2 linked regions of the Neurospora crassa OR74A genome follow. The protein of the gene in region 2 binds, or shares a complex with, the protein of the main gene of each other region. Links are inferred from orthologs where the notes say so. Each region holds a gene or a part of one and is shown on either strand. Other genes may lie near its edges.

Region 1 (4,423 bases), on a different chromosome or scaffold from region 2:
CCGGCCCTGCAGCAAACGAGTCCAAGAACGGAGCCTCAACGAGCGGTAGCTTCAACGGCATCATGGGACAAAAGTCAGAAAGCAACTGATTACATCATCTGCCGTGTACCTCGAGCTTCTGCGCGAGAGACAAGACCCAGTGTATCTGCTTATAATACGGCAGAGGTAGGAGAACCCAAGATCCTGTCGATGTCATAATGGTTTTGCTTATGGATGGGAATGTACGTCGACTTGTTCGTTTTATGTGGTTTGAAAGAGTGGTCATCATTTCACACACATGGATGATGGAGACAGAAGGACCTGTGAAGCTCAAGATCTCATGGGTGCGAAATGCACTATTTTACCACGTTTTGACTGACCGGTAGGAGATGAGGAGGGAGAGGAAGGAGCGGATTCCGATGTACATACATTATTATGACTTGTGTTTGGAATAGAAGCGTGTGCATGTCATCTGTTGGAAAGTCGACAGCGAGAAGGGAATGGGAATATCCTCAAGAGGCGGAAATGAACTCGCTGCTTTGCCATAGAGGCCAGTTAGAGAACATGATTACGATTGTCGTTACACTCTTGGGATCGTAATTGCAACGTCGTGATCATTCCCGCACGGGATACGGTGTTATTGAAATGGCTGAACGGCGCCTCAGCCCGAAAAGTCAAGGAGATGACAGCTAAGTGTAGTGCTTTCGTGGTTATCCCTTGTAACCAGTACGCCTTTGACCATGCATGTCCGCCTAATCATGTAATCATGTTAAGCCAACCCACTTGTTTTACATCTACGACTGTTATAATGCCCTTGTCCACGAGCTCGACAAGCTAGAGGTATTGAGTCAAGAAGCAGATGGGGCATTTGACAATGTCGTCATGCTTCTGACAGGCAGCTGACAACCCCAATAGATGGAGATCTCGCTTTGATCCAAACAGCCCAACCTAGGCTATTGAAAGCCACAACAGCTTGCTCTCTTTGACACCGTGGGCGCGGACATCGAATTCGGAGAATCAGCCGTGTGATCAAGATGGAGTCAAGGGGGGGAACAACGAAGATTGGAGCTCAACATATTGTAACCGACCAGACCAAACAGAGCCGTTGCCACGCGCAGGCGCCGAAAAAATCCCATATCTCGTATTCCATCTGCGAACGTACCTACGGCGGCAGCGGCGACGATGACGGACTTATACGCAGAGCAATCAAAGTCACGTTTTCTGCCACCTCAACAGGACTTTACCTTGTCATCAATGTGCCATTAGTGAATGGCCCGCCAAGCTGACTAAGTGTACGGGGTCGCTCTTGTGGGGTGGATTGTTCTGGGCTTGGCTGGTCATCGCTGGTTGGCTGGGCGGGCTCGAGGAACAGGAAGGCGGACATGCCCGCCGGAAAGGGCTCGCGCAAAAGTTAGGGCTCCGCTGCACTTGAGGCCCGTGCACGGTCCAATCCACACCACTCACACAAAAATTTGGCTGGTCCAATTTCTCTGGCGATACTTCTTGATTTTGTTTTCGCGGTAGTGAACTTTTTCCCACTCGACCATCAACAACCCGGGTACTTGGGATCATCAGCAGTCATGTCTCACCGTAGTAAGTAACGCCTCATCGCCGTCGCTGTCGCCGCCAGACATACGGTCTTTGTCGATTTCTACACGCAATCCCGACTTCGAGAGAATCGATGGAGCAGCTTTCCCGAGAGACGGTCGTCGCGATATCGAAATTTTCGACTTTTTGGCGACTGGATTTTGGGGAGCATGCGTGATCACGACTTGGACCTCATGGCAACCTGAACGTCCTTCATGCTGACTCGATGCTTCAGAGTACGAGGCTCCCCGCCACGGTTCGCTGGCCTACCTTCCCCGCAAGCGCGCGGCCCGCCACAGGGGAAAGGTCAAGTCGTAAGTCAAGCTTATCTTCTGGTACCATCGACAACACTATCGCTAGTAGTTTGGATCTTTCGCGATCGGAACTTGGGCAATAGGGCATGCGAACAGAGAGGCTGACCAGTTGCGCGTTCATGACAGGTTCCCTAAGGATGATGCCAAGAAGCCCGTCCACCTTACCGCCGCCATGGGCTACAAGGCCGGCATGACCACCATCGTCCGCGACCTCGACCGCCCCGGCGCCAAGGCTCACAAGAAGGAGGTCGTTGAGGCTGTGACCATCATTGATACCCCTCCTGTACGTACAACGCAGCCCGCTTGGCTCTTTTTGTGTCAATGGCTAACATCTCTCGCAGATGATCGTTGTGGGTCTGGTCGGCGTAAGTCTTTGATCCTGTCCAGCTGCCGTATATGGCCTACCGCGACCGTGTGATCTAACCCCGATATTAGTACATCGAGACTCCCCGCGGTCTCCGCTCCCTCACCACCGTCTGGGCTGAGCACTTGTCCGACGAGGTCAAGCGCCGCTTCTACAAGAACTGGTACAAGTCCAAGAAGAAGGCCTTCACCAAGTACGTCAAGAAGCACTCCGACAACAACGGTGCCGCCATCACCCGCGAGCTCGAGCGCATCAAGAAGTACTGCACTGTCGTCCGTGTTCTTGCCCACACCCAGATCCGCAAGACTCCCCTCAAGCAGAAGAAGGCCCACCTTATGGAGATCCAGATCAACGGTGGCTCCGTCGCCGACAAGGTCGAGTTCGGCCACGGCCTCTTCGAGAAGCCCGTCTCGATCGACTCCATCTTCGAGAAGGACGAGGTTATCGACGTCATTGCCGTTACCAAGGGTCACGGTTTCACCGGTGTCACCGCTCGTTGGGGCACCAAGAAGCTTCCTCGCAAGACCCACAAGGGTCTCCGCAAGGTCGCCTGTATCGGTGCCTGGCATCCTTCCCACGTCCAGTGGACTGTTGCTCGCGCTGGTCAGGCCGGTTACCACCACCGTACCTCGGTCAACCACAAGATCTACCGCATTGGCAAGGGCGATGCTGAGGACTCTGCTGCCACCGAGGTCGATGTCACCAAGAAGAAGATCACCCCGTATGTATCCCCGTCTGTCTTGAAGAAGTTGAAGAGCGCAAAACTAACCCTGTTCCAGCATGGGTGGCTTCGTCCGCTATGGCGAGATCAACAACGACTTCGTCATGGTCAAGGGCTCCGTTCCCGGTGTCAAGAAGAGAGTCATGACTCTCCGCAAGTCCATGTTCGTCCACACCTCCCGCAAGGCCCTCGAGAAGGTCGAGCTCAAGTGGATCGACACCTCCTCGGAGTTCGGTCATGGTGCTTTCCAGACCCCTGCCGAGAAGAAGCAGTTCCAGGGTACCCTCAAGAAGGACCTCGCTGCCAGCTCGTAAATTGGCTGCTGCAGTTGATCTCCTTGTTAGTCGGGTTGCATTGGTGTCACGGTTTTTTCGTTGCTCTTTCGGGTCGGTCGGGAAATGGGACTATACCTAGCATTTACGGCTTAATAAAAAGCTGTTGAAGAACAATGAAACGTTGATCCAGTGTACTGCCAAAGAGAGTGTCCTTCAGCAAAATGTGTTTTATGTGATGTGAACACGTGAAGAATCTGGTGGTTGGCACAGATTCGATGGACACTGTTGTTTATAACTTCGTATGTTTTATTCCAGGACTTTTGTCTTGGGCTGCTATGCCCCCACTAGTGTAGGGTAATGACTTGAAGGGACCAGTGGCATATAGATATACCCAATTTGATAGTCTTGAATGTAGCATGTCGTGTGATTCTCGTTGCCTGTTCTGCTGCGCTGGACGTGTTCGATTTATCAACTGTTCATGAGCTTCCACCTGTCATTCACTACCCGTCTCTATGCTTTCTCTTCCTGATATTGTTCATCTGCGATACCACGACTGATAATGATATCACTTTTCGACCATCTTCTCATATTCCTAGTCGTGCTTTTGGGAGTCCTCACGGCGTACATGGCTGTTGTTACTTGTTGAGGGCATATCAAACCCCGATCGACCTTGCAAGCAGCCCATCTCCTGATTGGTTGACGCTTCCACTCTTAGGCCAACGTGAGATCCGCCATTCCTAATTGGTTTCAGCTACTGCAGGTTACATCATCGGACGTTCGTTCGCATCCCACCACGCAGCCCACCCACCTGACTGATCATTGTCATCGTCGTCCCGCCCAACGAAACGTTCTCAACCTAAACACAACAACATAATGGTTTGAACTTCCCTAACCCTGACCCAGATCTGTTCTAGTTGCTTCTTCCATCCTCAACACAAACTCTTTGTCGACAATCCGCAAAGCTAATTACCCGGCTCTTTCTCGAACACCAGACACCCGCTGGATTGCCTCTCTCTCGAACAACTTCTACGCTTCTCCATTTGCAACGACCAGCAGCGCAACGATTTCTCACTCTCCCGCTCTTGCGCATCACTACGTCCCTTTCCGCAGGTACTACGCTTCATACGCCTCGTACACCGCACATCATCACCTCGACCGCGAAGCTGTCGTCTACCACCACCAC
Region 2 (3,224 bases):
ACTGTTGAGATTGCGACTGGGGATTCGACTCGCTGCGATTGAGCATGGGCCGCGATGGGGGACGTCGCAAAGCTTGTCTAGCGGATGTCCTTCTTCCCATAGACGTAAAGTGGCTTCCACCGCCCATGGGCGTTGGCGAAATGGACGACATGTCGTTCATGTGTTTTGTTTACCGCCCCTGTTGTTTTGGTTGCGGTTGCAAATGCGCTGGCTCGGCGTTGGGTGGACCTAACTTTTCGTCCTGTTTGCGAGCTTGGAACCTTGCCCGTCTTTCGCAGCCACGGACGATCCTGCTCTTGTTTTGCGCCTGGTTTGCCGCCTTTTCAGATGTAGTCCAAAATTGAAGAAAATAATACCTAATAAGCACAGGGCTGCGTGGGCGATTGCGAATCTACGTGCCAGAGTAGCGCATGGAACCAAGAATAACGAGAGTAGCGAGAAATCATATGGTGCGGCGCGGATGAAGCATGTCGTGAACGGAAGCTAGAGGAGACGATGGGGGGTTTCACTCTGTATTGGGGCCCTGGGTGCGTGCTGACTGTTGGCTTTCGCTAGGAGCGAGTATTTTGACTTGTGGAGCTGCGACCAATCAAAACACGGGGTGATGTTGCATGGTTGCTCGCGGCAACCGCTGAAATGGATCCTTTCTCTGGGAAACGCAAACTCCAGTGATGAGCTTGCCAAGCTTTGTTTACAGCAACAACAACAAAAACAACAGGGAAGCCCGACTTGAAGGAACCACATGCAACCGTGCGTATCGATAAATGAATGGAGACGACAATGGAGCTGCATGTCAAGTGAATATCAAGGGATTTGTTTACCAACGTTCTCGCAGGGCGCCGTCGATGGGACGCCATATCAGTGCGATAACAGGAACGGAAAAGAAGAAGAGCTCACAAACATGCATGTTCAAGCAACATATTCTCAGCAATTTTAGCTGCAGGCGCAGATGTCCAGAACAGCGCAGCACGCACATGTATGATCACGAAGGGACAAAAAGGTCCGAAGAAAACCTTGCGACTTGTATTGTTCCGCCTATGTGCCGTTTGACGCCCTTATGAAAGACGTGCCCTTGTAATCCCAAGAACTCCAGCTCTGCTGCCGCCGTCAAGGCGAATGTGATGCAGGTGACTTTTGAACCGCGTGTACAATCCGTCAAGGTTTCTCGGAAAATACCATGCCATGTTACCGGACAATGGTAGGAGACGCTTAGTCGAAGAGACCGAAGCCCATATCCTCGTCGGACTCCTCCTTCTCTGTACCCAGCAGTTAGCAGCTGAATGCGACAGCGCAAGCGATTGAATGTGTCCTTACCCTCAACCTTCTCCTCCTTCTTCTCCTCAGCAGCGCCACCAGCGGCGGCAGCGGCACCACCGGCAGCGGGGGCAGCAGCACCGCCGGAGGGGACGGAAGCGAGCTTGGAGGAACCCTCAGCGATCAACTGTAATATCTCGTGTTAGCCATGTGCGCCGGACACTCAAGTCTGCTCTCCGGACAATAGTCGTACCTCGTTGAGGTCCTTGCCCTCGAGCTCAGAAATGAGCTTGTCAAGGCGCTCGGAGTCGGCCTCAATGCCAACGGACTCAAGGACGGCCTTGACATCAGCGGCAGAGGGGGCGGTGTTGCCACCGAGGGTGAGGAGGAGGTAAGCGGCCAAGTGCTTCATTTTGTCTGTCTTGAAGGTCGCGTTGTTAGACGGAAATCCTACGGTTGTGGAAGGCTGGACCAAAAACTTACTGAGCTGGAGAACCAGAGATGTCAATCAGGTTTAACCGCTGAGTTGTGGCGGAGAAAGACTCTTCTTAGGTTCTTGGGGGTGGAAGTTCACTGTTTCGGAAAGAAGTTCGCGGACGGGACCCGATCACGGATTATTTTTACAATTTCGTTCCTGTGAAGCCCCGCAATTTTGCGCCCCACGAAAGCCCACAAGCCTCAAATCACCTGACCAATCCACTCGACTTAGGGCAGATCCCGTGCGTTCTTTCCCGCCAAGCTCCCTTCCGTCGTTGCCTGCCGGCCGCTTGCAATTACATAAAAAGCTGGCCAATTCATAACGCCTTGGGCGCTCTTGGCAATAAACACAACTTTTCGGTGACGTGCGGCTTGGCACGCTGCTGGTCTGGACCGTCTGGGCCTGTGACTTTGACCTCGGAGACCGCGATTCACCGCTCCGACCAGAAGTGACTGGGTGGGTCGTTCACTACGCTGACCATCCTGGCTCCCGTCTCTGTCTCTGCCCAGCAAAAGTTGCGAAACCAAGTCCCCGATCACGCAGGATTCTTTGTTCTTCTTTCGCCAACAACCCATCTCCAACCTAATTCCTATTCTTGGTTTCGGCACTATCGGGCGACTGGCGACCTCGCATACTCGCGCCCATTCTTTCGCCGTGTTTTTTGCCAAAGCATTCGCGCTTGTCCCACTGTGCATCTGCATCGTCAGTTGAGGCGATCTGTGACGGAAGCATATAAAACCCTGCCACCTACTTCCTTCTCCTCTTGTTCGATGCCTGGACAACTCTCCGTCTTTTGAACGCAGGAGAAGGATAAGCAAAGCTGGTAAAAGAAGGTTATTCACCGATACAACCACAGCCATGCCGGTAAGTTGCCATTCGTTTAGTGCGCTTGCCCTTTAAAAGGCTGGCTGACACGTGTGCAGATTTCGGATTTGCTCGCATCGATAACGGGCGAAAAGCCATCGTCATCATCGATCTCGACGAAAGATGTCCCAACAGCATCTAAACGGAAGGCCGACGATGACCTTCGAGGTTCTGCGCCAAAGGCCCCGCGTACCGAACCAGCGACAAATGGAAGTGCCCGGCCGAATGGAAACGTATCGAAACCTTCTACAGCGCGCCCCGCCGACCGACCGACGGAGCGCCCCACAGGAAATGCGAACCCAACGCGTCCCGCAGAAAAAACAACTGGCTACACCGGCACCGCGCAACCACGTTCGACCACGAAACTAACAGCTCCGGTGTCAACCAAGACCACATCGACGCAGTCAAAGGTGGGAGGAACAAGCTCGAATGGGAATAAGGCTCCACTTTCGCGACCGCTCGTCAGCCGACCCGCCCCTAGCGCTCCTGTCGCCGGCTCTGGACCTCCGAAGAAACGCTCCTATGCAGAGATCATGGCAAGGGCCCAGGCCAATCAGCCCATGCTGTCATCCGTTGGAAAGATTCAGCACAAGAAGGTGGAGAAGCAGTTGACGCTGAAGGAACGCAA

The links.
Region 1: NCU00979 (region 2) and NCU06843 share a complex: the UniProt entries of both Saccharomyces cerevisiae proteins name them as parts of the large ribosomal subunit. The link is inferred for Neurospora crassa OR74A from reciprocal best matches to the Saccharomyces cerevisiae genes RPP2B and RPL3.

Annotation. Positions count from the first base shown.
Region 1 is NC_026502.1:1,783,573-1,787,995, reverse strand, and holds NCU06843 (60S ribosomal protein L3), read left to right. Parts: upstream 1-1,430; 5' UTR 1,431-1,559; coding exon 1,560-1,572; intron 1,573-1,801; coding exon 1,802-1,880; intron 1,881-2,006; coding exon 2,007-2,163; intron 2,164-2,221; coding exon 2,222-2,245; intron 2,246-2,315; coding exon 2,316-2,965; intron 2,966-3,023; coding exon 3,024-3,279; 3' UTR 3,280-3,718; downstream 3,719-4,423. Other genes in the region: RCM-1, read left to right, coding at 1-89; NCU06844 (hypothetical protein), read left to right, coding at 4,114-4,116, 4,233-4,423. UniProt on the Saccharomyces cerevisiae protein: Component of the ribosome, a large ribonucleoprotein complex responsible for the synthesis of proteins in the cell.
Region 2 is NC_026501.1:6,512,210-6,515,433, reverse strand, and holds NCU00979 (60S acidic ribosomal protein P2), read right to left. Parts: upstream 1,891-3,224; 5' UTR 1,738-1,890; intron 1,676-1,737; 5' UTR 1,667-1,675; coding exon 1,508-1,666; intron 1,442-1,507; coding exon 1,315-1,441; intron 1,257-1,314; coding exon 1,210-1,256; 3' UTR 787-1,209; downstream 1-786. Other genes in the region: NCU00978 (checkpoint protein kinase), read right to left, coding at 1-160; NCU00980 (hypothetical protein), read left to right, coding at 2,591-2,596, 2,656-3,224. UniProt on the Saccharomyces cerevisiae protein: Component of the ribosome, a large ribonucleoprotein complex responsible for the synthesis of proteins in the cell.